2 linked regions of the Caenorhabditis elegans genome follow. The protein of the gene in region 1 interacts with the protein of each later gene in a pairwise test. Each region holds a gene or a part of one and is shown on either strand. Other genes may lie near its edges.

Region 1 (12,704 bases):
AAAATTTAAATTTTTCGCTAAATTTTTTTTCCACCTTTTTGGAAATCAATCTGATAAAAAATATTATAAATTCGAAAAAAATTAATTTTGGAAACCAGTTTTCAGTAGTTAAGCTCAAAATTCCAAAAAAAATCGGGAATTTTTCACCAAAACCGAGGTTTAGAGGAACAATTTCGCTGGAAATGTGTTTTTTTGGAAATTTCTGGAAATTTTTTTAGCGTCTTTTCCGCTTCATTTTAAGCCGAAATTAGTAGAAAATTCGATTTTTGATCATTTTGATCTTAAAAATGTTTCTGAAATTTCTAGAAGTACCTGTACATATTTCTGTACTCTGCATTGATTTCTATTCAAGCAAATCTCCAAATGGGGCCTCCGTAGCTCAACTTGTCCCCATCGTCGTGGCCATTCTTGCTCACAAGTGAACACAACCGGCACGGCAGCTTCATTCACAGCTTCCAGAAGTCCAAGGATCCCATGACGATCGAGAGTCTCAAAGAACACATCGACATGCTCAAAGACCACTAGACTCTGCACAAAATCCTTTGGCGCCAGTTGTGGTGGTGGTGCTGGAGTTTCACGCGGAATTGTCTTGTAAAACGGGATGGTACGAGTCGGATGCGGCTGCTGATCCACACGATGAGAACGGAGAGCCTCCTGAAGGTTTCTCTTGATCTCTGAGCCACTTCTGCCGGTTTCCGGGCCAATTGAGATTATACGCATGTTTTCTTGCTTGGCGAGAGCACGGAACTGCAAAAAATTTTAAATTTTTGGAGAAAACCAGATTTTTTTCTTGCAGAAAATGTTAGAGTTTTCGTTTAAAAAAAGACGATTTTTTAACATTAATTTTCGTTGAAAAAACACAAGAAGTTTACCATTTTTGAGTGCCGTAATTGCCGGAAGTTTTGGAAACCGGCAATTGCAGGAATTGCCGGAAATTTCCAAAACCGGCAATTGCAGAATTTGCCGATTTCCGAAAATTTTCAAAACTGGCAGTTGCAGAAATTGCCGAATTCGCCAAAAATTTCCAAAACCGGCAATTGCCGAATTTGCTGGAAATTTTCAAAACTGGCAATTACAGAAATTGCCGAATTCGCCAAAAATTTCCAAAACCGGCAATTGCCGAATTTGCTGGAAATTTTCAAAACTGGCAATTACAGAAATTGCCGAATTCGCCAAAAATTTCCAAAACCGGCAATTACCGAATTTGCTGGAAATTTTGGAAACCGGCAATTGCAAAAATTGCCGAATTCGTCAAAAATTTCCAAAACCGGCAATTGCCGAATGTTTTCAAAACAGGCAATTGCAGAAATTGCCGAAAATATATAAAACCGGCAATTGCCGAAATTGCCAAAAATTTCCGATTTCTGAGCAACCCTGAATTAGAGCTTTTTTATTCAAAAGTTTCTGATTTTTTTCCAAAAATTCCAATTTTTTCTGAAAATCTCCAAGCTTCATCCCGTACCAAGGCGGTCTTTCCAACTCCAGACGGTCCAATCAACACCAGAGGATTCTCCAGATCATCATCCTGATGCTCCACTTCATAATCCTCATCGGATTCATGATCCTCATCCCGTCGCTTCCTCTTTTTCTTCTTCCCCTGCTGCTCCGCAATCTCTCGCTCCATGGCTTTCCGCACTCGACGCTTCCATCTTCGGAGCCATCCCCGCACCGTTGGCTCTTCTTCGGCTCCTTCTACCAGTGAATCCATCGTCGACGGATATATTGTTGTTGTGCAGCTATTTTGGGGCACTTCCAGCTTTTCCAGCGATGAATCCGGCGGATTTTGAGCCATTGTGAGTTCCCGGCTTCGCTCGTAGGGCTTATGGAGCTCAAGGAGATCCTCCTGAAGCTCAGAGACAATCCCAGTTGAATCTAGAATTTTTGGGTCGAAACTTCTAGATTTGAAGATCTTCCCATCGTCGATTTCTGCGAATTCCTCGAAAATCGCTGGCAAAATTGGGATTTTCTCGAAAAACTGATAGGTTTCAGCGCACAAATCTCCCCAATGCTCTTTTCGACGGACTCCGTTGCTCTTTTTGGAGAAGCTGGAGCTCGGCGGGCCTGAAACTGATCCCATTGGGCTATCCGATAGAGTTGTCACTTTTGGAGTGACTGCAGGCTTCACAGGTTTTGGAGAGAAAATCGAGAAAACTGGGCCGGAGCTGCTGGGCTTTTGGCTTGTTGGTGGAGTTGATTTGGTCTGGAAAATTGGGTTTTTAAGAAAAAGAAGGCTTTTTCGGCTAAAAATTAGGCTTTTTCGAATTTTTTTAATAGAAAACCAGTGTTAGTTTCCAAAAAAAGCTTTCAAAAAAAATCATTTTTCGACGATTTTTTGATTTTCTAGAAATAAATAATTGAATTTTCTTAATTTTTCTCTCAAAAATCTAAAAAATTGTGTACCTCCGCCTTTTTCAGCTCTAGCATCTTCTTATTTCCCACTACTGGAGTTGATTTCGAAAAAATCGTCGCCAATTTCCCATTTTCCGGCGCCTCAGGACTCGAAATAACCACAATTTCTTCCTCGGTTTCCGGCGCTGCGTCGTCAGAAGTGGGCAGGGGCTTCGCAACTCTGAAGTACGCAGAAGATCTACGGATTTTGAGTTTCTTCTTCTCCTCTTTGATCTCTTCCGATGATTTTGCAGGAGGCTCCACGGTTTTTTCCGGAGACTCAGATTTCCGAGATGGCTCGGCATCTTTTTCCAGGGTTTTTGGTTCCACGGATTTTGCAGCCATTGATTTCCGAGCTGTTCGGACCTTAGGCTCCACCTCCTTATCCAGAGATTTCGATTCCAGAGATTTCGATTCCACGGAGTTTCCGGAATATGCAGAGGATCTTCGCGATCTCTTCTTCTCAGCTTCAAGTGGTTTGGAAATAGATTCCACCTCCTTTTCCGCAGATCCAAAGTACGCTGAATATCTGCGATTTTTGCGTTGTTTCTTCTCGGATTCCACCGCCATTTCCACACAGTTGACTTCCACGGAGTCGGCTTCCCCATCCAGAGACACCACAGGTTTCTTGGCAGATCTCGGCGCGAAAAAGCTGTGAATTTCCGATTTAAGAGGTCCTCGTTTCGCCAGGGGCTCCAGATCATAGCCGGGATCGTGGTTTTCTCGTTTTTTCGAGCTGCTTTCCTCGCGTTCGTCTTCCAGCAAATCACACGACTTCACCGGAGGCTCTATGGCATCCGGATTCAGACGAAGCGATCTACGGGATCGCTTGGATTTTTGCTCTGGCTCCTCCAATCTCGGCTTCTCAATTTTCGCTGGCGACTTCAGAGGTGACGCTGCGCCGAGGATGAGAGATTTCCGGCGTGATGATGGTCGCGTTTTCGATTCCACCGATTTCGTGTTCACCGACTCAAGTGCGGTCTCCGTCACAGATTCAGCCGAGTAGGATGCAATTGATGACGTGGATGGTGCAGAGCCTCCTCCTCCGTCGCCGAACACCATTTCCGCGTTGAATTGGAAAACGTCCTCCGATTGCATTTGCTCGAGCTGAAAGAAAAAATTGAAGAAAAAATCAATATTAGACTCCACCCATTTTTTACCTTTGCCTGTGACGTAGGTGTCAATCGGAGTTTTACTGTGCTGAGGCGTTCTCTGTTCGGATTCATCGTGTCCTCCTCATCGTCCGAGTGTGGCATCACCAAATCGTTTGGATTCTGCAAAAAAAAGAGATTGTCCGAGAGGAGTACACGGGGAAAAGTTGCAGATTTTGATGAAAATGTGAAGTTTTTCGGGTGAAAAAGTGTCAAATTAGTGTACTTTTTGTGAAAATAAGCCCATTTTCAGTAATTTCAGACTTATTTTTGGCTTTAAAAATACTAAAAACGCCAAAAACTGGAAAATTCACGGATTTCCGAGAGAAAACTTGGTTTTTTCAACGAAAATCTGGCATTTTTCAGTTAAAAACCGCGCTAAAAACGTGTTTTCTCTTAAAATTTCGGGGACTTTCAGCGATTTTTCGGCAAAAAATCGATTTTTCAGCTTATTCCGCAGCCTACTAACATAATTGGGCCTCGGCGTTATCACTCGAATCGAGCATATCTTGTTGAACTTCAGTTTTCCCGATGTTCCACGCTTTTGCGGCGTTTTCGACATGCTTCTACGATATTTCTGCATCACACGTTGAGCGGCCTGCTGGGTCAGCGATTTTCGTGGCGGGATCATCGCACCGTCAGCTGGACGAACTCGAATCGGCGTTTTGGTGGCGGATTTGAGGCATGGCTTCACGGCGACACGTTCTCCAACGTCGAACTGAAATTAGAATCGTTGAAAAAACGTTGTGAGACCCATTTATCAGTTTTTGAATTTCATGAGCCTTTGAAATACAAAAATCGATCAAAATAATTGATTTTCAGCCAAAATCTTCATTTTTGAGGCACTTTTCCGGCAAAAATCTGGAAATTTTCAGCTTTCGCAGCTCAAATCCTCACCGAATATCGAATCGGCCGCTGACAAGCACGAGTTCTCGGTGGTGGCGGCGGCTGAACCAACGGTAGCGGCGCGATTTTCAGCTGAGCCATTCGTTTCGGCTGTACACGCTTTTGAACGGGGCTCATCACGTCTTCGGAGCCGGAACTAATGAATGAGCTCATGATTTTGATGCCAAGCGAGGAACGACGGCGAGCAGGTCTGGAAATTGAGAGATTTTATCGAGAATTGAGGGTAAAAACCAACCTTTTTGGTTCTTCCGTATGTTCCTTATGCTCTGGAATTGGCTCTGGTGGTGCCGATGTGGATGGAAGTGAGTTTTCATCCAAAGTAGGATTCTCTTCCATTTTTACTGCAAAAAAATCGATAAATGACGGAAATTCAATGATTTTTCATGGGAAAATGTGAGAAATTAAGCGAATAATTCGATTTTTAACATAAAATCTGTGAAAATTGAAGAAAAATCGAGAACAACTGATTTCATGGAATATTCCAAAAACCACGAAAACTGAAAATTTTCCCTCCGAAAAGAAAATGAAAATCAACATTTCGCGCTGTCTCACTAGAGCGCGCTTGCGCGCACCTCTCGTTAAAAACGCGGCAATTCAAATCAGGGTTTTTTTGCGTGAAACCCCAAATGACAGGAAAACGTGTATAAACTTCGAGAATGTTCGATTTTGATTAAACTAGAAAAAAGAACCACAAAAAATCAATCATTTCCTTTATCATGGAAACCGAAATTTGTGAGCAACTCGGCGATCTTCACTTGGACAAGGAAGCCATCTTGCTCCGCGCCGAGCAAATCGAGCAGGACATCAAGGCACGGGTGAGAATTAGAATTGGAGAGCACTTTGCAAGCCGGGAATTTTGAATTGCTCTTTTTTTGCAGAAGTACTCGGTGATTCCACCATTGTCCGACGAGGAGCAGAACCTTCTGGACGCTGAAATCGCTAAGCGAGCTGCTCCGCCGCCGGGTGTCCCGGATGCCGCCGATTTTCCGCTTCACGACATTGTGAAGGAGTTGGGGCTCGATAAGCCGGTCGATGGGACGGATCCCGAGTTTTATGAGGAGCTGAAGGCCAAGGACGCGAATACGGTCTACAAGAACATGAAAGATGTAAGCACACTTTGTTGGGCAGAGTCAAAATACACCAGATTTGACGCGCATTTTTTTTTTGAATTTTTGGATGAAATGCAGTGCCCCAACAATTCTGCCTGAAAATTTGTCTCTGTCATGGGCATTGAACCAGGGATGGGAGGCAATTGTCGTTTTCCGGCAAATTCGGCAAATCGACAAATTGCCGGTTTGCCGGAAATTTTCATTTTCAGAAAATTGCAGATTTGCCGGAAATTTTGAACTCGGGCAATCTGCCGGTTTGCCGATTTGCCGGAATTTTCATTTTAGGAAAATTGCAGATTTGCCGAAAATTTTCATTTTCAGAAAATTTCCGATTTGCTGGAAATTTTAATTTTCGAAACATTGCCGATTTGCCGGAAATTTTGAATTCGGGCAATCTGCCGGTTTGGCGATTTGCCGAAATTTTTCATTTTAGGAAAAAATTCGGACATTTGCCGGGTTGCCGGAAATTTTCATTTTCAGAAAATTGCCCATTTGCTGGAAATTTTCATTTTCAAAAAATTGCCGATTTGCCGGAAATTTTCATTTTAGGAAAAAATTCGGGCATTTGCCGGGTTGCCGGAAATTTTCATTTTCAGAAATTTGCAGATTTGCCGGAAATTTTGAACTCGGGCAATCTGCCGGTTTGCCGATTTGCCGGAATTTTCATTTTAGGAAAAAATTCGGACATTTGCCGGGTTGCCGGAAATTTTCATTTTCAGAAAATTGCAGATTTGCCGGAAATTTTGAACTCGGGCAATCTGCCGGTTTGCCGATTTGCCGGAATTTTCTATTTAGGAAAAAATTCGGACATTTGCCGGGTTGCCGGAAATTTTCATTTTCAGAAAATTGCAGATTTGCCGGAAATTTTGAACTCGGGCAATCTGCCGGTTTGCCGATTTGCCGGAATTTTCATTTTAGGAAAAAATTCGGACATTTGCCGGGTTGCCGGAAATTTTCATTTTCAGAAAATTGCAGATTTGCCGGAAATTTTCATTTTCAGAAAATTGCCGATTTGCTGGAAATTTTAATTTTCGAAAAATTGCCGATTTGCCGGAAATTTTGAATTCGGGCAATCTGCCGGTTTGGCGATTTGCCGGAATTTTTCATTTTAGGAAAAAATTCGGACATTTGCCGGGTTGCCGGAAATTTTCATTTTCAGAAAATTGCCGATTTGCTGGAAATTTTCATTTTCAAAAAATTGCCGATTTGCCGGAAATTTTCATTTTCGGAAAATTGCCGATTTGCCGGAATTTTTCATTTTCGGAAAAAATCCGGGCATTTGCCTAGTTGCCGGAAATTTTTATTTTCAGAAAATTGCCGATTTGCCGGAAATTTTTAATTCGGGCAATTTGTAGATTTGCCGGACATTTCAATTCCGGCAATTTTCCGATTTGCCGGGAAAAATCGTTTGCCGTCCACCCCTGCACCTCATAACGCCCATGTACCAAATTTGGCGAGAAAAAATATTGCAGAAAAACTGTATTTTCAGCCAAAAACAAAAAAGAGCGCGGCCTATGCGTCATATCTGAAAATTCTAAAATTTGGACACTTCAGGTTCCGGATTCCATCGCCGCCAAGTACCTTCCCGACCTGGCTCGACGCTTCGTGGAATTCGAACGACGTGTGAAACGTGTCGAACGGATGCTTTGGGCCCTCCCGCGTGAGGATCGTAGCCTCGAAGAAGATCGATTCGAAATTCTCACCGAACTTCTCGACAAGAGTTGCCAAGGATTGGAGATTTGGGAGGAGCACTGTGTAAGTCTGCAGTTTTGCGTCAGATTTGATGTATTAGGATTTCAGGAGCGAAAAATCCCACTTGGGCATCGTTGTGTGCTCGAGGGAGAGCTCATTCATCTGATCACTTCGAAATTCGATTTAATCGATAAAATTTGCGGAGAATTTGATAAGTTGAAGAATAAACGCTCGGAGGTCAACGATGAACGTGATGTGAGTTTGTGTTCCCGTGCACCATATCTTACGCGCAAAGTTGTATTTTTTTTTCAATTTTGCGCGTCAAATACTGTGTTTTCGCGATTATTCAAACATTTCAATAGGAGTTTTATCGATTTTTAACCAATTTTGCAGATGCTCCGCTACGAAATCCGTCACTGTGACATGATCTTCACGGAGATTCACGAGAAGTTTTTGAAATCTTACTTGGAAATGGATTGGTGAAGAAATATTAATAGATTTTTTTTTCGATTTGGAATAAATTATTGCATTTATTTTTTTATTACTGATTAAAAGCAATTATTTACACAAGCAATACAATGACACCACAATTGACGCGCAAAAGTTTATCAACAGAGCGCATTTGCTAGAAACGTCCAAACATTGAGAGAAGTGCATTCAGAACAGCCGATTTCGGACGTTGTTGGGACGGAGTTTTCGGCGGTTTTGTGGAAAATTCTGGAAAACAGTTTTTTTAAAGCAAAAACTTGAAGTTTACCGAAATTCTCCACGGACCCATTTTTCACAGTGGAGCCAGTGAATTTTTCAGTGCTGTTGGTAGGTTTCTGGAAATAGTATTGATTTTTTTTCCCGGGAAATTTGGTGGCCTTACTTTTTCGAAATTGTTATTGATAGTGATGATTCCGCCGAAGAGGGGGATCCGGATTTGGGCTGAAAAACTTTTTTTTAGAAAAAAAAGTTGAAATCGCGCTCTATAGATAATTTTTTGTGGAATCAATAATAATTTTCAAAATTCGAACTCCAGGTTTTTCTTCAAATTTTCAAAGCAATCACGCTCTATTGAACTGCTGGACAAAATTATTGGCTCTATCAAATGCGATGTAAGAGTTTGCCGAATTAGGCCATTTTGGCTCGACCACCGCTGGAGTCGATTTACGGAGCGTCGCGTGTTGCGTCGCGGCCCGGAAAACTCAATGAACTTGTCCGTGTGGAGTACACGACGTTTAACTTCCAGTGTCCCATCTAATGCAAGTGCGCTCTACTGCTCTATTCGAGTTTTCTCAAAATTTTGAAAATTTTAGTGTAACTGCGCTCCGTTGCACAAACATAGTTTTTGGGGAGTCGATAATAATTCGAAAATTTCAAATTTCCTGTACTTTCAACCCAAAACTCACCAGAAAATACCCCGACGAGCAGCAATAAAACCACGAAAAATCCCAATTTTTTGCTCATTTTCCTGGAAATTCTTCTGAAAATCTCTTCTGAAAGGGGTCGATAGAAAATTCTCGAAAAGAAACGTGAGAAAAATATGAGAAGCTTGTGTGCTCGGCGAGCAAAGGGGGCTTCTCGGTTTGCTTCTCACCCCAAGAGACTTGTCGAATTTCTTGTTTTTTGTCTGTCACAGCTTCTTCCCCGTTTCTTCTTCTTTTCACACTGTTTCCGCTTCTCCGGAAAGCAGTGAGCAACTTCTCCCCTATTTTTTTTGAGTAAAAATAGGAAAAAGCAAAAAAAAATTCTGAGCTGCTCCGTCATCTTGTGATGCTTGATCCAATTATCCTGCTGGCTAGCTAGGTCGTTTTGATTGACATTGACATTTTGCCAGATTTTTCTTCTGTTTTTTTGATGAAATTCTAGTTTGAAGCTGCTCATTGAGCATAGTTTTTGAAATTTTTTTTAAACTGTATATGCACACGTGAACATTCGACAACTTTCGCCGACTTTTCTGAAGTGATCCGACAGATTTGAACATTTTGTACATTTTTCTACAATTAATCGGCAACTCTCGCCAACATTTTGGCAACTTTTCTGCAACTTCTTGAAATTTTTTGACAATTAGTTAAATTCAATTTTTTGTTAGCAAGAATTGAATTGACACCAACTAAGACAGATCTCTCGGCAACTTTTTGCAGCTATTTCAACAACTTTAAACAATTTTCTGTAACTTTTGGCAAATTTCTCGCAAAATTTGGCAGAAACTTGCCAGCTTTCTCTGCAACTTTCTGAAAATTTCTCGCAACTTTCGACAGCGTTTCTGTAATTTTCGAAAACTGTTGTGGCGACTTTCTACACCTTTTCAGTAGTTTTAAACAAATTTTCGGCGCCGTTCTGCAACTTTCCGGCAAATTTTGGCAGCAACTTCCGGTAGCTTGTTGAAAACTTCAACTGTCATTTTGGCAAATTCAGACAACTTTCGACAAATTTCGACAACTTTTGCCAACTTTCATCATTGTTTCTGCATCTATTCGGCAACTTTCGACATAGTTTCTGCAATTTTCGACAACTGATGTGACAGCTTTCGGCAACTTTTTGGCAATTTTCTACACTTTTTCTGCAGTTTTCAACATCTTTCCGGCAAAAGTTGGCAGCATTTTGGCAGTTCCCTCTTTAACGTTCTGAAAATTTTTGGCAACTTTCAGCAGCTGTTTCAACAACTTTTGACAATGTTCTGTAACTTTCAGCAAGTTGTCGGCAAAATTTGGCAGAAACTTGCCAGCTTTCTCTGCTAATTTCGGCAACTTTTCGACAATTTTTCCCAGTCCCATTATTCAAATCAGCTCGCCAAATCATCACGAGGGCACGCAGTGAGCAAAGAAAAAAAGACCAAAAAGAAAAAGTGAATGCAATTATCAGACGGGAATCAAGAAATGGCAGCGTCGTTTTTTTCTCCCATGGCGAAGTTTTTTTCGTCAGAATTTCAAGATTTTCAAGGTTTCTAGGCACAAAGGAGCTCCCTGAGCTCCTCGAAAAATTGGATCAAGTTTCAGAGCTTTTACAGATAAAAGGAGAGTCGTAGAAGGGTGTCTGATTCGATTTCTGAAGAAAAAGAAGACATTTGGACATGAGGGAGTTGTCGGACCACTTCCTCCGTACTCAGCGTGTCTTCTTTTTTTTCTTTTCTTATTTACTCGACTGACCCCCCGCAAAGTCTGATGTTCTTTTTCGGAACCTTTATTATTATAGAACCCTGCAAAACTGTCTGGTAGTGCATTGGAGCGCATTTTCCTCTAGAATAAAAATTTAAATTCCCACAAAATCTGCTTTTGGAGCTGCCCAAAACACCAAAGCTCTTTGTTTTTTTTTCTTCTAAAAATCTAAAAATTATAGTTTTCGCATAAATATATTTTGTATCTTTTTTCCCAGCGCGACAAGTCAGAAGCCGTCGATTATCTGAAAATTGTAGGAGCTCTGTGAGCACATTTTTTGCGATTTTTTGTTGGTGCTCAACGGTTGACACGCAATGGGCTCTTCAGTTTTCTGAAGGATTTTTGGCGGGAGTCTAGATTTTGAAATTTATAAAAAGTTTTTCGGCAAATTTTGGATGAAAAGCAATTTAATTTTTTTTTCAAAAATTAGAAGAAAAAAAAATTAAAAGCCCTACCTTTTCTAGTTGCAAATTACTGGAAATTTCTCACAAAAACCAAATATTTTAAATTTTCGTCACATGAAATCGCGCTCGACCGTACTACTGAATTTTTTGTAGAAGTGGCAGTAGTATCCTTGGCCCTTTTTTGTACAAAATTTAAAGAAATGTTTGAGTTTTTACAAGTTTTAGATAATTCTTCAGAAATTTTCAACAAAAAAATCCAACACAATTTTTTTTTTCGCAATTTCTGAAAACTCAAATTTTCAGCACAAGCTCATAATGTCAAGTAAGCAATTTGATACAATCTCAAATGTCACGTTCTCTCACAAATGTATGCTTCTGAGTCAATTTGTTCAAATTCCTATGGAATTACATATAATATCCATGCACACACACACACACTTCTGACTTCTTCTCGTTTCTCTAAATCTCCATCTTTTCTTTTGTCTATCGTTATCAGGATTGACGTCAATCTATTTAGCTTCTAGATTTTTTGTTGTTTTTCAAAGCATTAAAAATTCCAAAAACCTTTTTTTCTTGATTTAAACTTATATTTCTTCGAAAATTTCAGTCTCACTCGAAGCTTCATATTTTTTCATTTGAAAAAAATTTAAATATAACAAAAACAAAAGTTACTATAGAATCCCCGAAATTGGCCATTTGTGCGGTGGAGCGCACTTGCAAATTGTTAAGAATTTTTGAAATTTCTAATTAAAAAAACCCGGAAATTTTAAAATTCTAGAGCAATAGCTTCCTTTTTTTCTGCCAGAGCACTTTTGAATGGAGAAGCGGATTATGCAAATTTTTCCGGAACTTTTTTTTCTCGGGAGTAGCTTTCACTAACAAAAAGAAAGAAAAAAAGTAAAGTGTCTTTTTTTCAAAGAATTTCCGAAATCCGAATCTGACAATTCAATTTACAGCTTCGTTTTTTTTTCTTTTGGGAAGCTTCTTGAGTGGAAAGTTTAATATTCTGGAAGAACTATTTGGAGTGATTTTTTAAAGATAAAAAAAAATATTTTTTCATAGTTTCCCAGTCTGAAATCATTAAATTTTTGAGATTTCCTACATTTCACAACTCAAAAATTTGAAATATTTTCTGTGGTTCTTTCTTCCATTTAAAAATGTAACCGGCAAATTGCCGGATTGCCCATTTGCCGAAAATTTTCAATTCCGGCAATTTGCCGGCTTGCCAATTTGCCGGTTTGCCGCTTGTATCACATTTGCCTGAAATGTTGAGAGAGATTTTTTATTATACAGCAACACTTAAAATTGTGTCTTTTTGAAATTTTTTTCCCGTTTTCCTTAGATATTTTTATAGAATCTGCTTACTTTTCAAAATAGATGTCGGAAGCATTCTATGGTATGCGAACAATTTTGCCGATTGAAATCGAAATTCCGAAAAAAAATGTGCAAAACCACAACTTGCCGAAAATTTTTTCCGGCAAATTCGGCAAATCGGCAACTTATCAGCTTGCCGATTTGCAGGAAACTTTTAAATCCGGCAATTTGCCGATTTGCCCGGAAAGATTTCTGAAAAACAATTTTCTTACATGAAAGCTTTTGATTAATAAATTTCAAAGAATTCACAAGCTTCAAAAAAAATTTACCAAAAATCGGGTAGGCGTCTCTAGGCGACCTTCCCCCGAAATTTCCGGGATTTTATTTATTTTTTCAAATTGTCTAATCCCAAAAAAATACGAACAAAAAAGTTTGAACAAACATGCATGTCACTTTTGATAGAATACTGTCCCAAGAGGATTCGGGAAATTGCGAATTTTCGGCCATTTTCTGACTCTCCACAAAACTTTCTTGTTTTGCATTTTATCGATGAATTCTTGAATTCTCAGAAGATTTTCTGCTTGTTTTTTTTAAAGT
Region 2 (11,614 bases), on another chromosome or scaffold:
AAATAACTTTACATTACATTATCAAATTTCGAATCAATTTTTAGCCAACTTAACCCAATTTGTTTGATTTTCAGAGATGCTGTTAAAAACGACCTAAACTTTAATATTTCTAGTTTGGCCAGCATGGTTATATTTTTCTACCTGCCTGATGAAAACGGAAAACTTCATCCTCATTGGAAAACATTTTTGGTCATGACTAGTATATATACTATAACAGTAAGGAATTTTTTTGTATTACGAAATCATCTTTATTTTCAGTTTGTCTCTATTTTCAGTGTAATTTTTTGCGGTTTTAAATGCTATAATTGCATTTTGCAAGCTATGTCAATTACGACGGTCCAATCAAAAATCTCGAAAAGTCTTCAGCACCAGTTACTCAAAGCATTAGTGATTCAGGTTTTTGAAAACTACCTAGAAAATTTAGCGTTAAATCAATATTTCATACTCTCATTCCAATGGTATTGATGTATATACCGCTATTCTTCGTGTTTGCTCTACCTCTTTTTAATATAAATTTTCCATATGCGAGTACTGCTATATCTGCAACAATTTCCATTTACTTAGCCATTGATCCTCTACCAAGTATGTTCATTATCAAAGCTTATCGAAAAGCTGTACTGGGTAAGTTAACTAACAAATTGGACGCGTGTATAATTGTTTTTCAGAATTATTTGCAAAGCTTCTATCGCTAATCTGCACTTGCATCAAATTTCAGCCTAGACGGGCTCAATAAAGTACAACAGCTTGATAATCTTTTGACGTTTTTTTTTTAAAACTTGACTAACACATTTGACGTCTAAACATTCATTCGATTACCACATTCAAATAATTTGTTTATACAAATCTTCCATCGAATTTCTTCAGATCTTCAGAAAAAAAAAACGAAATAAATTAAGAATAAATGAACCTATTCACTTCAATGATTTTTGTCTTTTTTGCACTATCAACTGTACTAACAGAAAGTGAAATATTCTCTATAGAAATTCTAACCGATACAGAATTTGGTGATGATTATTATGAAAGTTCCACAAACTCCAGTTTGGAAGTTTATTAATTCTTTCGTATGTATGTTTTCATTATAAAAAATGTTATTTCAAGTTTAATTTCAGGACAATGACTTGCGAAACAAAAACCCGGGACATTCAAGCGAAACAATGAAAAGTTATATAATCGTTTTGTGATCATTTCAATTTTTGAATCAATAAAATGTTATTCTGTTCCGACATTTCTCAAGCATCGCATGCTAGCACACGTCACTGTTTTATTATTCCGAAAAATATAGAAACATGGCTTTATGAATAGTTTTTCGTACTGTTTAAAAGTTGTATTAAAGTTTGTTCTTCTGTAATATTTCATTTTTTAGTTTTCCAAACCACAGCTTGAAGATAAAAATTGAAAAATCAACTTAAGATTTATATAAATGTGTTTTTACAAAAATATCTACAAATATTAATACATTACGTAGGGAATTGCATCTTTTACATTTTGACATTGGAATGTGCTCATTGGAATGTGCCATGCTATACAAAATTATGTACTCCCAATTTTCAGGTTTATTACACTTGTGATGCGTTTTCTTGTTATCCTACTCATCGTAATTATCATCTTACCATTCGGTACTTTACAAATATTTTCTCTGCAAATACCAGAAGAAGTACGATACTACTCAGATATCGATGTTACCACAAAACAACAGAAAATGTTCTGTGAGTCAATTGTCAAAAATTTTATCAACTTGAATGTGTTTTCAGGAATAAACCGGCGGCAAAAATGATTAATCGTTAATGATTACAGTTCAATTTTATATAAACTTCTTTCTACGAAAATGAATCAGATTTTTACCTAAATGATACACATAAAATTCTGGACAACACATAATAAACTAGAAATGCAGCAGGGAATCCACGAACGGATTGGCTCCGGAGTCCAATGAAGCACGCCTCTGCATCATTATTTTTCAACGCACTTGTTCAAAATTGAAACTTTATGCTTCTTTTAGTGGGCTTCTTTTAGATAAAGTTTTTCGTTTTTCGAACAACAATTCTGAAAAAAAAATTGTTGTTTTTTTAATCTTAATTTTTAGCATGATTACGGACAGACAATGATAGTAAGAACAATATTACCTTTTTTCGTTAAAAAGTGTCCTTTTTACAAAAGGATTATACTCAATGTCTTTTTCAACTAAGGTGGTCTTCTCTATGAAGTTCAAGTCGGAGACAGAATGCAAAAGTCTCACGTTAATCAGATTCGGACTCGTTATGGTGACTACAGTCGTGAAGACATTTTTGAGGAAACTATCTATCCTCTGTTCTTTTCGACTCCAGGAAAGTTTACTAGCTGTTCAGACAATAAGTCAAGTTCCGGGGCCACAGGGGAGAAACTAATCTTTTTGATTCTTCAGGCTCGTCTGTTAATCCTAGATTGTCTTCCGATTCTTTTGGTTTTGTGGGGGAGAGTGGCGGTGATGAGATGTCCCGCAATGATGATCCAATTGTTACTTCGAATGGTTCCAGTATTGATGTTAATCGTGGAAGCCGAATCACAAGTGAACTAAAGAAGAAAGAAAGCAATGCAGTCAGAGGACAGCCACGTGGATCCTGCTCTCCAACCAACAACGACGTTTCGGCGCCCAGATACGCCTCACGTTCTCACTCGACCACCGAACCAAGCCATTCCGTAAGACGAAGTTCGCGAATTCGACGAGTACCGGACAGATATCCGCGTGGGTCGACATCCACACAGCTCGGTCAAGCCTCCACTCGCAACGGATGTCGATATACAGCTTCTGGTCGAAACCCCTCTTGCCAAGGGAATCGCTATTCGTCAATAAGGGGGGAAGGTGTTACGTGTTCGCACTACTTCGCGATAACAACTCGACAATAAGAAGCACATGAACTCTCGAACTCTCTTATTATTATTTCACGTATTATCCACATGTACATTCCTTGATCGAATCTATCATATTCGATCATTCCTCACTATTCTATCATACTGCACTCTTCTGCTTTCTAATAAAGCTCTTCTATTATTATTACAAAATATATAACATTTACTCTCTGGCTTCACCGTATTTTTTACTCTCGGGCTTCACCGTATATTTTACTCTCTGGCTTCACCGTATATTTCCCGAACTTTACCAATAATCTTAGAAAAAAATTGTCTATTCAGGGCCATATCAAGTCTCCCAAAATTCCAAAATTTTTTTTTTGTAATTTCGTCAAGGTATATGCCTGTAAAAAATAATTCGGATACAGAAACCCCTCTAGCGTGGCTTAAATTTAATTTCCAGGTCCCGAACTTTACCAATAATCTTAGAAAAAAATTTTCTATTCAGGGCCATATCAAGTCTCCCAAAATTCCAAAAATTTTTTTTTGTAATTTCGTCAAGGTATATGCCTGTAAAAAATAATTCGGATACAGAAATTCCTCTAGCGGAGTTCAAGCAGAAAAAGTGGATTTTCAGTCATACCTTTTAGTGCACAGTTTGAGAATGACTAAAAACGACCATGCAAAATTAGTAGATTTTCCAATTTTCAAAAATTAGAATCTGGCGTCAAACTAACTTTTTCAAAAATCCTGTAGCCATTTTGTTGCAAATTTTGTGTTCTTTCAGAATTTCGAAACCAAATTCAAAAAAGTGTGAAGCCAGGGAGTAAAATATTCTGTAAAGCCAGAGAGTAAAATATTCTGTGAAGCCAGAGAGTAAAATATACGGTGAAGCCAGAGAGTAAAATATTCTGCGAAGCCAGAGAGTAAAATATTCTGTGAAGCCAGAGAGTAAAATATACGGTGAAGCCAGAGAGTAAAATATACGGTGAAGCCAGAGAGTAAAATATTCTGCGAAGCCAGAGAGTAAAATATTCTGTGAAGCCAGAGAGTAAAATATACGGTGAAGCCAGAGATTAAAATATTCTGTGAAGCCAGAGAGTAAAATATTCTGTGAAGTTAAAGGCATGAAACTAAATACTCAAGATCGTCTTTTGTACATTACACTTCCAATTTAAGACTTACAGTTCCATTTCTTGCACTCCATGCAATCGTTTCTCCAGAGACGTAGTCAACTTCTGCAGAGTAGTGCACAATTTCAGTATAACTTTCCTCTTTTCCTTCACAATTACTAAACTCTTGTATGTCATTAGGTCTAGATGTCTTGGAGCTTACGTTCTGTATCGTCGTTCCCCTTCACTCCACTTCGTATGCGCAGCACCGTGAAAACAGATTTTCAAGAATCGGGCAGTGATTGGCTCGTTGGATCTCAAAACAACCTGCCCAGTAACAGTTTGACCTGGTGCATAACCTCTCGGGCTATCGAACACAATTCCAAAGTGATCCATATGTTCCATATCTAAACTAAAAAGATACAAGGAAATTTAGAATTTTAATTAAGGAAAATGTTGTATGATTATAAAATGAATGAAAACTGATAAAATGAAGTGGTTATCAAATAAATTGCCGTTTTATAATATAAATATGATTTCACAAAAATCAAATAACGCACGGTATAAGACTGATGACGACATTTTACCTCCTGATTACGCGTTTTGAGTCACAATATATTATAAAACGGCAATTTATTTGATAACCACTTCATTTTATCAGTTTTCATTCATTTTATAATCATACAACATTTTCCTTAATTAAAATTCTAAATTTCCTTGTATCTTTTTAGTTTAGATATGGAACATATGGATCACTTTGGAATTGTGTTCGATAGCCCGAGAGGTTATGCACCAGGTCAAACTGTTACTGGGCAGGTTGTTTTGAGATCCAACGAGCCAATCACTGCCCGATTCTTGAAAATCTGTATTCACGGTGCTGCGCATACGAAGTGGAGTGAAGGGGAACGACGATACAGAACGTAAGCTCCAAGACATCTAGACCTAATGACATACAAGAGTTTAGTAATTGTGAAGGAAAAGAGGAAAGTTATACTGAAATTGTGCACTACTCTGCAGAAGTTGACTACGTCTCTGGAGAAACGATTGCATGGAGTGCAAGAAATGGAACTGTAAGTCTTAAATTGGAAGTGTAATGTACAAAAGACGATCTTGAGTATTTAGTTTCATGCATTTAACTGATAACAAACTACAATATTGTTACAGGAAAAACTTCCATCTGGCCACCATGTCTTCCCGTTTGCATTTCCACTCCCGATAGAATGTCCACCTAGTTTTGAAGGTTTCCACGGCCACGTTCGTTATTCCGTGCGAGTTGAGCTTGACAGACCATGGAAGTTCAACAAAAACGAAAGGGAAGACTTCAAAGGTATTTCGAAAATTGTTAATGTGCGCAAAAAGTTATTTTTCAGTTATTCCCAACTTTGACTTGAATCATCTTCCGTTGGGAAATGTTCCTAGAATGATGAAGGATGTGAAGGACATTGGGCAAATATTTAAAAAAGGAATAGTAACAATAACTGTGAGTACAACGCTGCTACATTGATAGGTTATTTAATGCTTTCAGGTAACTATCCCCAAAGCAGGATATGCTCCTGGAGAATACCTGCCAATCACAATCGACATTGACAATGCTTCCAAACGTGCAGCAACGTTTGTGCGAGCTGAACTTCATCAGCACTCGCATTACAATGCTAGCAAAAACCATGGCCTCTTATGCACTCATTCGTCTTACCACGAACATCACAAGGATGAAAGCAAACGTATTGCAGAAGCTCGAAAAAGCATAAAAATTGCTCCAAAAACCGCTGGCCGTGAAATGCTGCGGATGAAAATCCCAAAGTCGCCACCAACATTTACAAGTCCCATTATCAGCATTGAGTATTGTCTTTCTGTGAGGTTGGACACTTTAACAACCCTTAATAATACATTGCACTGCGAGTTTGATATCATCATCGGCACAGTGCCAATAACTGAATCGATCGTGGAGCCAACGGTAACTACCTTTCCGTCTGATCCACCTGTCCTTGAGCGGCTGGATTCCTAACCTCCAGCCTATTCAACTGTGGTTCCAAGTGCTCCGACCGATGATACAGCGGGAACATCCGCTCTACCGCCGTCTTATGAGGAATCAATGTGTGTAACTAAAATTTAATTGGGTATTTTATTTTATTTTTTCTTGTATAATTGTGAATTAATAAAATTCTGGCCATTTACATTAGTCAATCAATTTTCTTTCTCTATTGCTAAACATTGAGTTTCAAAAATATTCATTTGGCAAAAAATAAGGTAGGGTAGATTCAAAAAACTATAAGGATGAATTGTAAATTACAAGTTTATTACAATCAACAGATAAGTTTAAAAAAAAACATTTCAGAAAATAATATGAGGAGTAGTGATATTCGAGATTGACGGTGAATTTTTATAGACAATTTTACAGGATTTTTTTGTGAGCCACTTTTTGTGCAGTAGTGAAACAAGATAACAGTGCAACGACGACAGCAACTTATTCTAAAAGATAGGAAATGTGAGTGGTTGTCCGGCCATAGACATTTGGACAATCTGCTTTAACAAAGACAGTACGTTGAGCAAGGCAGAAACGCTCAATAATTTCCGATTTCTTGGCCACAAGTTTGGCGGCAAGTCTTTGGCGAACACCTTTATTGTCTTCCTCTGCGTGTTTGTATTCAGATCTTTGCATTCGACGAGCTTTACGTCCTTGCTTTGCCAGAATGTGCTCAACCTCCTCTTCTGATTTTCCCTGAGCAATTGCTACAGCCTTCATCTCTCTTACAATTCTGGCTTGAACAATGTCCAATTGTTCCATGCGATTTCTGGTTTTAATCTCTAGATACTTCTCGAGATATTCCTCAACTTTTAGTTCATCCTTGTCAATTCGATGCTGAAAATTGCTTTTTAAATTTATACATCGTAATGTTTAATTTATATTAACTTTTTTATGATTGTATGCTAATTGTTTAGTCTTAGGATGTCTTCGGCCTGACCCTTTTTCGGTACTACATATGTATTAAACGTTTTTATAACACTCACTAAAAAGAGCTGAAGCTTGGTCCTTCCAGCGCACCACTTTTCCTCCTCGTGTTGTTTTTTGTTGCGGCAGAACGCACAGTTACCCTTTGAATCGATAATTTTCTTATTGGCCAGCAGGGCAGTGACCATGAGCTCGATCGTGTTGCGTTGAAGACAGATCATCAAAAAGGCGCTCTCCGCTTTTTTCTGAAATAAGTTTTAATACAATCATTAGGATACTTGGTTTTGGCTGGAACCATAATATGATTTTTCCGAAAAAAAAACATACCTGTGGAAGAGTCATATTTTTTGTTTTCTTGCAGCAATAACTGTCCTTCAAGTAGTTGCAGATTTTGAGACACTTCATGCAATGCAAGTCTCCCGGTCCTCCATCAATCTCCATAACGTAGGTCTCAGCCGACATTTTTCTGAAAGTAAGTCATTGATAAAAAAATTGTCAAAAAACTAATAACACAAGAGATGAGTAAGCTTAGTGTATAGCCAAAAATAATTCCCCCTCAATATTGCTATGGTATCGCACGCATTGCAAGGGAAAGAATAAACTAGGCAACGCGGTCGTGCACTGCGCGCCGCGTAGCGTGCAGAAGTGAGCGACAACGAGAGAATAACAAGGCAGCCGAGAGAGGATGGCCGAGAAATCGATTTGCCCATTTGACTAGCAGTAAATATGAGATAGCAATAGGAGGGAAAGAAGCAAATTGCGTAGTGGAATAAAACAAGAGAGATTAGTAACTGGAGTACACATAAATTGTTGATCAATAAATTTTAAACAGCGGAAAAATAAAACAGTCTAGTATGTTGAAAATAAGAGTTGCATGCAAGACTTTTTTTCGTTTAGTCATTTTAATTGGAAATGTAAATTTAGTAAAAATGCGGTAATTTAATTCAAGCAAAAAAATTAGAATTGAATAATTAAAAACACGAACACTTTTTTGCTCGAAGTACGGAATTGTGATCACTAATACACAATTAAGAGTCTATTTATTTTATCGCTTTGTTATACACCAGTTATTATAAACCAAACATAAAACTTTATTATTGAAAGAATTCCGAAAATCGATAAATCCCACAAAATAAGAAGTATACTGAAATACCAAAAATATCAAGGTTTAAATCACATAGACTACTTCCAAAATTTCGATCAACGACAGTGAAATATACGTATATATATATAATCAATTTTCCAAGAAAAATAACGACTAGACCTGTAGCACAAGGTTGACTTTAATAAATTGACACAGATGTAGTAGAAAATGTGCTACATAGTGTGAAAATGTTTTGAGATCAATAGAGAAAAAATATCAAAATCTCCTTCTTATGCATTAGAACAATTAGTAGCCCTATAGTTTTCTGGGATTGTTTCCTCATCAAAAGTCGGCTCATCTTCTACGTAATCCGTTTCATATTCGTCCTCCTCTTCAAATTCGGTATCATCTGAATCATTGGATTCGTCTATCAATTCCTTTTCTTCACGGTTTTCATCCACATCAGAACCTTCCAAATCAGTGGATTCGCCATTATCATCGTCTGCTTCCTCATCTTCATCTTCCTCCTCGACCCTTCTCCGTTTGTTTGGCAAAGAGTAACCAACATCGACAGTAGTTGAATCAAGCTCTCGTTTTCTTAGATATCGATTAAAACTGTCATCGATAAGTTCACGAACTTCGTCTAAATAGTGTTGATTTTTTTCGTCAAAGTGCTGTTTCAAATCGTCATAGCATACACTCCCGGATTCGATGTTTGGCACCTCTTCTGTAGCTGGTTTTGACAATCTGCCAGTTTTGATTTTTATGATATGCTCATCCAAAACATATTGTTGGAATAAAGTGCCAAGTTGCTCATTTGAATGCATCAAATTGTTGAAAAGAGCGCCGGTGTGGTTCTGAAAATTTATATTATCTGTCAATTTGTAGCATAATTGTTTCTCAAAAAATACTTTTTAAACTATATGAGTTTTCTTAACTAAGAAATAAGAAATAGAAGTAAGTAAAATTTTCTTTGACATTTTTCTTCAAATTATCCTCTTAACTGAACATGTGTATTTTTTTGATAAACTTTTCATTTTTAAATACTTATTAACCGACTAACCGCAAATTTAGAGAATTGATAATTAAACCGACGGCATCTTCTCATGTGCATTCTACAAGCTTGTACGTTTTCAAATTGTTCCTTGCAAAGTCCACATTTAAGATCCTCTTCCTGATTGGAAGCCCCACAAAACATAGCCAGATGATTTTGAGACATAAGTAGGCGATTAGCGTGTTGATGTACTTGGTACTAAAAAATCTGATAAAGCTGAGAGGCTATATAGGATTTGAAAATCCTTACATGTACGTCACGTTCTGCATTTTTGAGACAAACATCAATATGAATAGCGAAGGAATTTTCAGTGTTGAACTTTTCATCGCATTTGGAACATTGCAATTTGTACATATCTGGAAGAATGTTTGTATTATTATAATGTCAGTTTAAAACAATTTTTCTTTCAAAATAAACTAACCCATTACAGTCCCGCACGTTTCTATTTTAAGCGGCTGCTGCCAAATATCAAATATTCGTTTTGGAATGTCGGCCATTCTGAAAGATATAAAGGTGAAAAATCAGAAAATAAAATAAGAAACATAATTAGCGAGATGAACAAGCGAAAACTTGATATCAGCTGATGTAGATCGCAAAATAAAACAAGATGTGACGGAAAGAAATTGGATGGCAAACGAGAAGGAAGTGAGGACAAGGAAGTCACGAGAGAAATCAACTACGGGAAATAAGTGAGAACGACAGTTGGGCGTGCGGCAAAAATAAATAGGGTCCTGTTGTTATTTTCAGCAAAATATATTTACAAAAAGCTTGCAATTTATTTGGGGCAAAGATCAGAGGATAAAAATAGTCATTTTTGTTAATATAATTAATAAGAAGCATCGAATAAGTTCCACATTATCATAAGTACGTTTACTAAAAAGAAACAGAAACATATTAATGCTTCCTTTTGTTAAATTTAAAACAACTTTCCAGCCTTAATCTAAGCTTTCCCACAGTTTTGTACAGTAGTTTTAATTTCAGCAATAGTTTAAATCAAATCAAAATAAAATTTTGGATATTTGTTAAAAGTTATAGTGAACAACCTGAAGCGAATATATGGAAAAAAGATGTTTTCAACTTAAAAAAGTTGGTGTGAGGTTGGACAAACATATCATTTACTAAACCATGAAAAAACCATTTTGAAAATCTAGTAAAACTCTAGAGAAACTGATAGTTGCAAGAAATGAACACAGAAAGGTGTAGTCAGTCACGAGTCGATTAATTACCTGCCACATCAATTAATAGCTATCACTATCAAGATCGTTAATCGAGATTGCGGATCAGTAGAAAGTTTAGCGGAATGAGGTCAATCAACATTCCAATCAAACATACATAAGAAGCGTTCGAGTTCCTACGCACTTATCATTTGCAAGACGCATTGTTTCAAGACGGTTTGGCTAATGCTTACACACACCAGGAAGTGAAGCGATAAAACAAAAAATGAATGGTTGCGCAGCTGGCAATACAGGAAAAGTGGAGAATGTGTACAAAAGATAGAATGGGTTGTGAAGAAAAGCGGGAAGATGAACGTTTTTTTTGTACCCGCTAATTTTTTTACAATGCCGATCATCCACCAGTTTGCAGAAGATGATGAAAGTTTATGAGTGGAGAATGCAGAATAACGAAGAAAAATTGATACTGAAGAAAATGAAAAAGAAAACAAAATTTTTTTATCCAGCCTGCAGATAGGACTTGGGCTGTACGGGAGATGCTTCACAGTTTTACTAACGCGATTTTTACATTAGTATCTATTGCTGTAGCAGGCTAAAATAGGAAGACTCCATTTATTTAATAGGAATGAAAAAGTTTGAATTTAAAATTATTTATTAAAAGTAGTCTAAAAATTTCAGATTGAAAATTGTTTTTCTAACACTCATTTGAACTATGAAAATAATTCAAATGCTTTTATAAAATTTAAGGAAAAATGTAAGCTTTAAACAAAACTAAATAGTTTATATAATTTATGCAAATCAAGAATAAATAGAAAATGAAGCTTCATTCGGCAACGCCAGGCTAACACCCATAGAAACAAAAACGTCACTAAAAATCAATGGGCGCGCTTCTCGCGGCACAGAAAACGTAATACGCGTGCCGTCGTGCAAAGAACAATCATAAAAAGTAGTAAGAAAAAGCTCCGTGAAACTCGGCGGTTCAGCGGGGCGTGTTTGCATGTAAAAGGGTGGGTGTGTGTGTGTAGAACCAGCTGAGAGAGGATTTCAAAAAGAAACGAGATAATCGGAAGCGGGTTGTGTAACATGATGATTGAGCGGTGCTTGTTAAAGGATTGTAGAGAAACAGAGAAAAACAAATGAGTGGAAGGGTCTGGGATTAATTCCTGTAAGATGGTGCTTATAAATAATAATGCAACTGGCAGATAATGAGGGAATTTCACCATTTTCCGAAAATTAATAAAAGTATCCTTAAACTTTGAGACAATATTTTTTTATTTGATTTGAAGCATTCAATGATTATCTTTTAGACTAGCGGGCCCTGCGGGCCCGCCAGTTGTAGGGGGTGTAAGGCGAGTCCCCCTGCCGGGCGTAGGTTCTCGGCTTTGCCTCGAACCTGTTAGAGGGTTCGTGAAATTT

Evidence for each region.
Region 2: the proteins of Y53F4B.11 (region 1) and arrd-24 interact in a two-hybrid assay, tested with the Caenorhabditis elegans proteins (2 studies listed by BioGRID).

What each region holds. Positions count from the first base shown.
Region 1 is NC_003280.10:15,005,631-15,018,334, forward strand, and holds Y53F4B.11 (uncharacterized protein), read left to right. Parts: upstream 1-5,117; 5' UTR 5,118-5,161; coding exon 5,162-5,260; intron 5,261-5,323; coding exon 5,324-5,551; intron 5,552-7,108; coding exon 7,109-7,309; intron 7,310-7,354; coding exon 7,355-7,501; intron 7,502-7,639; coding exon 7,640-7,729; 3' UTR 7,730-7,778; downstream 7,779-12,704. Other genes in the region: Y53F4B.9 (AAA+ ATPase domain-containing protein), read right to left, coding at 313-747, 1,463-2,200, 2,401-3,495, 3,549-3,662, 4,009-4,257, 4,437-4,635, 4,681-4,781; Y53F4B.51 (uncharacterized protein), read right to left, coding at 7,872-7,963, 8,004-8,070, 8,118-8,176, 8,641-8,698.
Region 2 is NC_003284.9:13,973,569-13,985,182, reverse strand, and holds arrd-24 (Arrestin C-terminal-like domain-containing protein), read left to right. Parts: upstream 1-4,665; 5' UTR 4,666-4,676; coding exon 4,677-4,858; intron 4,859-4,902; coding exon 4,903-5,008; intron 5,009-5,102; coding exon 5,103-5,265; intron 5,266-5,308; coding exon 5,309-5,418; intron 5,419-5,463; coding exon 5,464-5,943; 3' UTR 5,944-6,114; downstream 6,115-11,614. Other genes in the region: F48F7.6 (Zf-C4pol domain-containing protein), read right to left, coding at 6,403-6,798, 6,948-7,133, 7,216-7,350; F48F7.5 (C2H2-type domain-containing protein), read right to left, coding at 8,263-8,829, 9,036-9,224, 9,276-9,382, 9,448-9,523.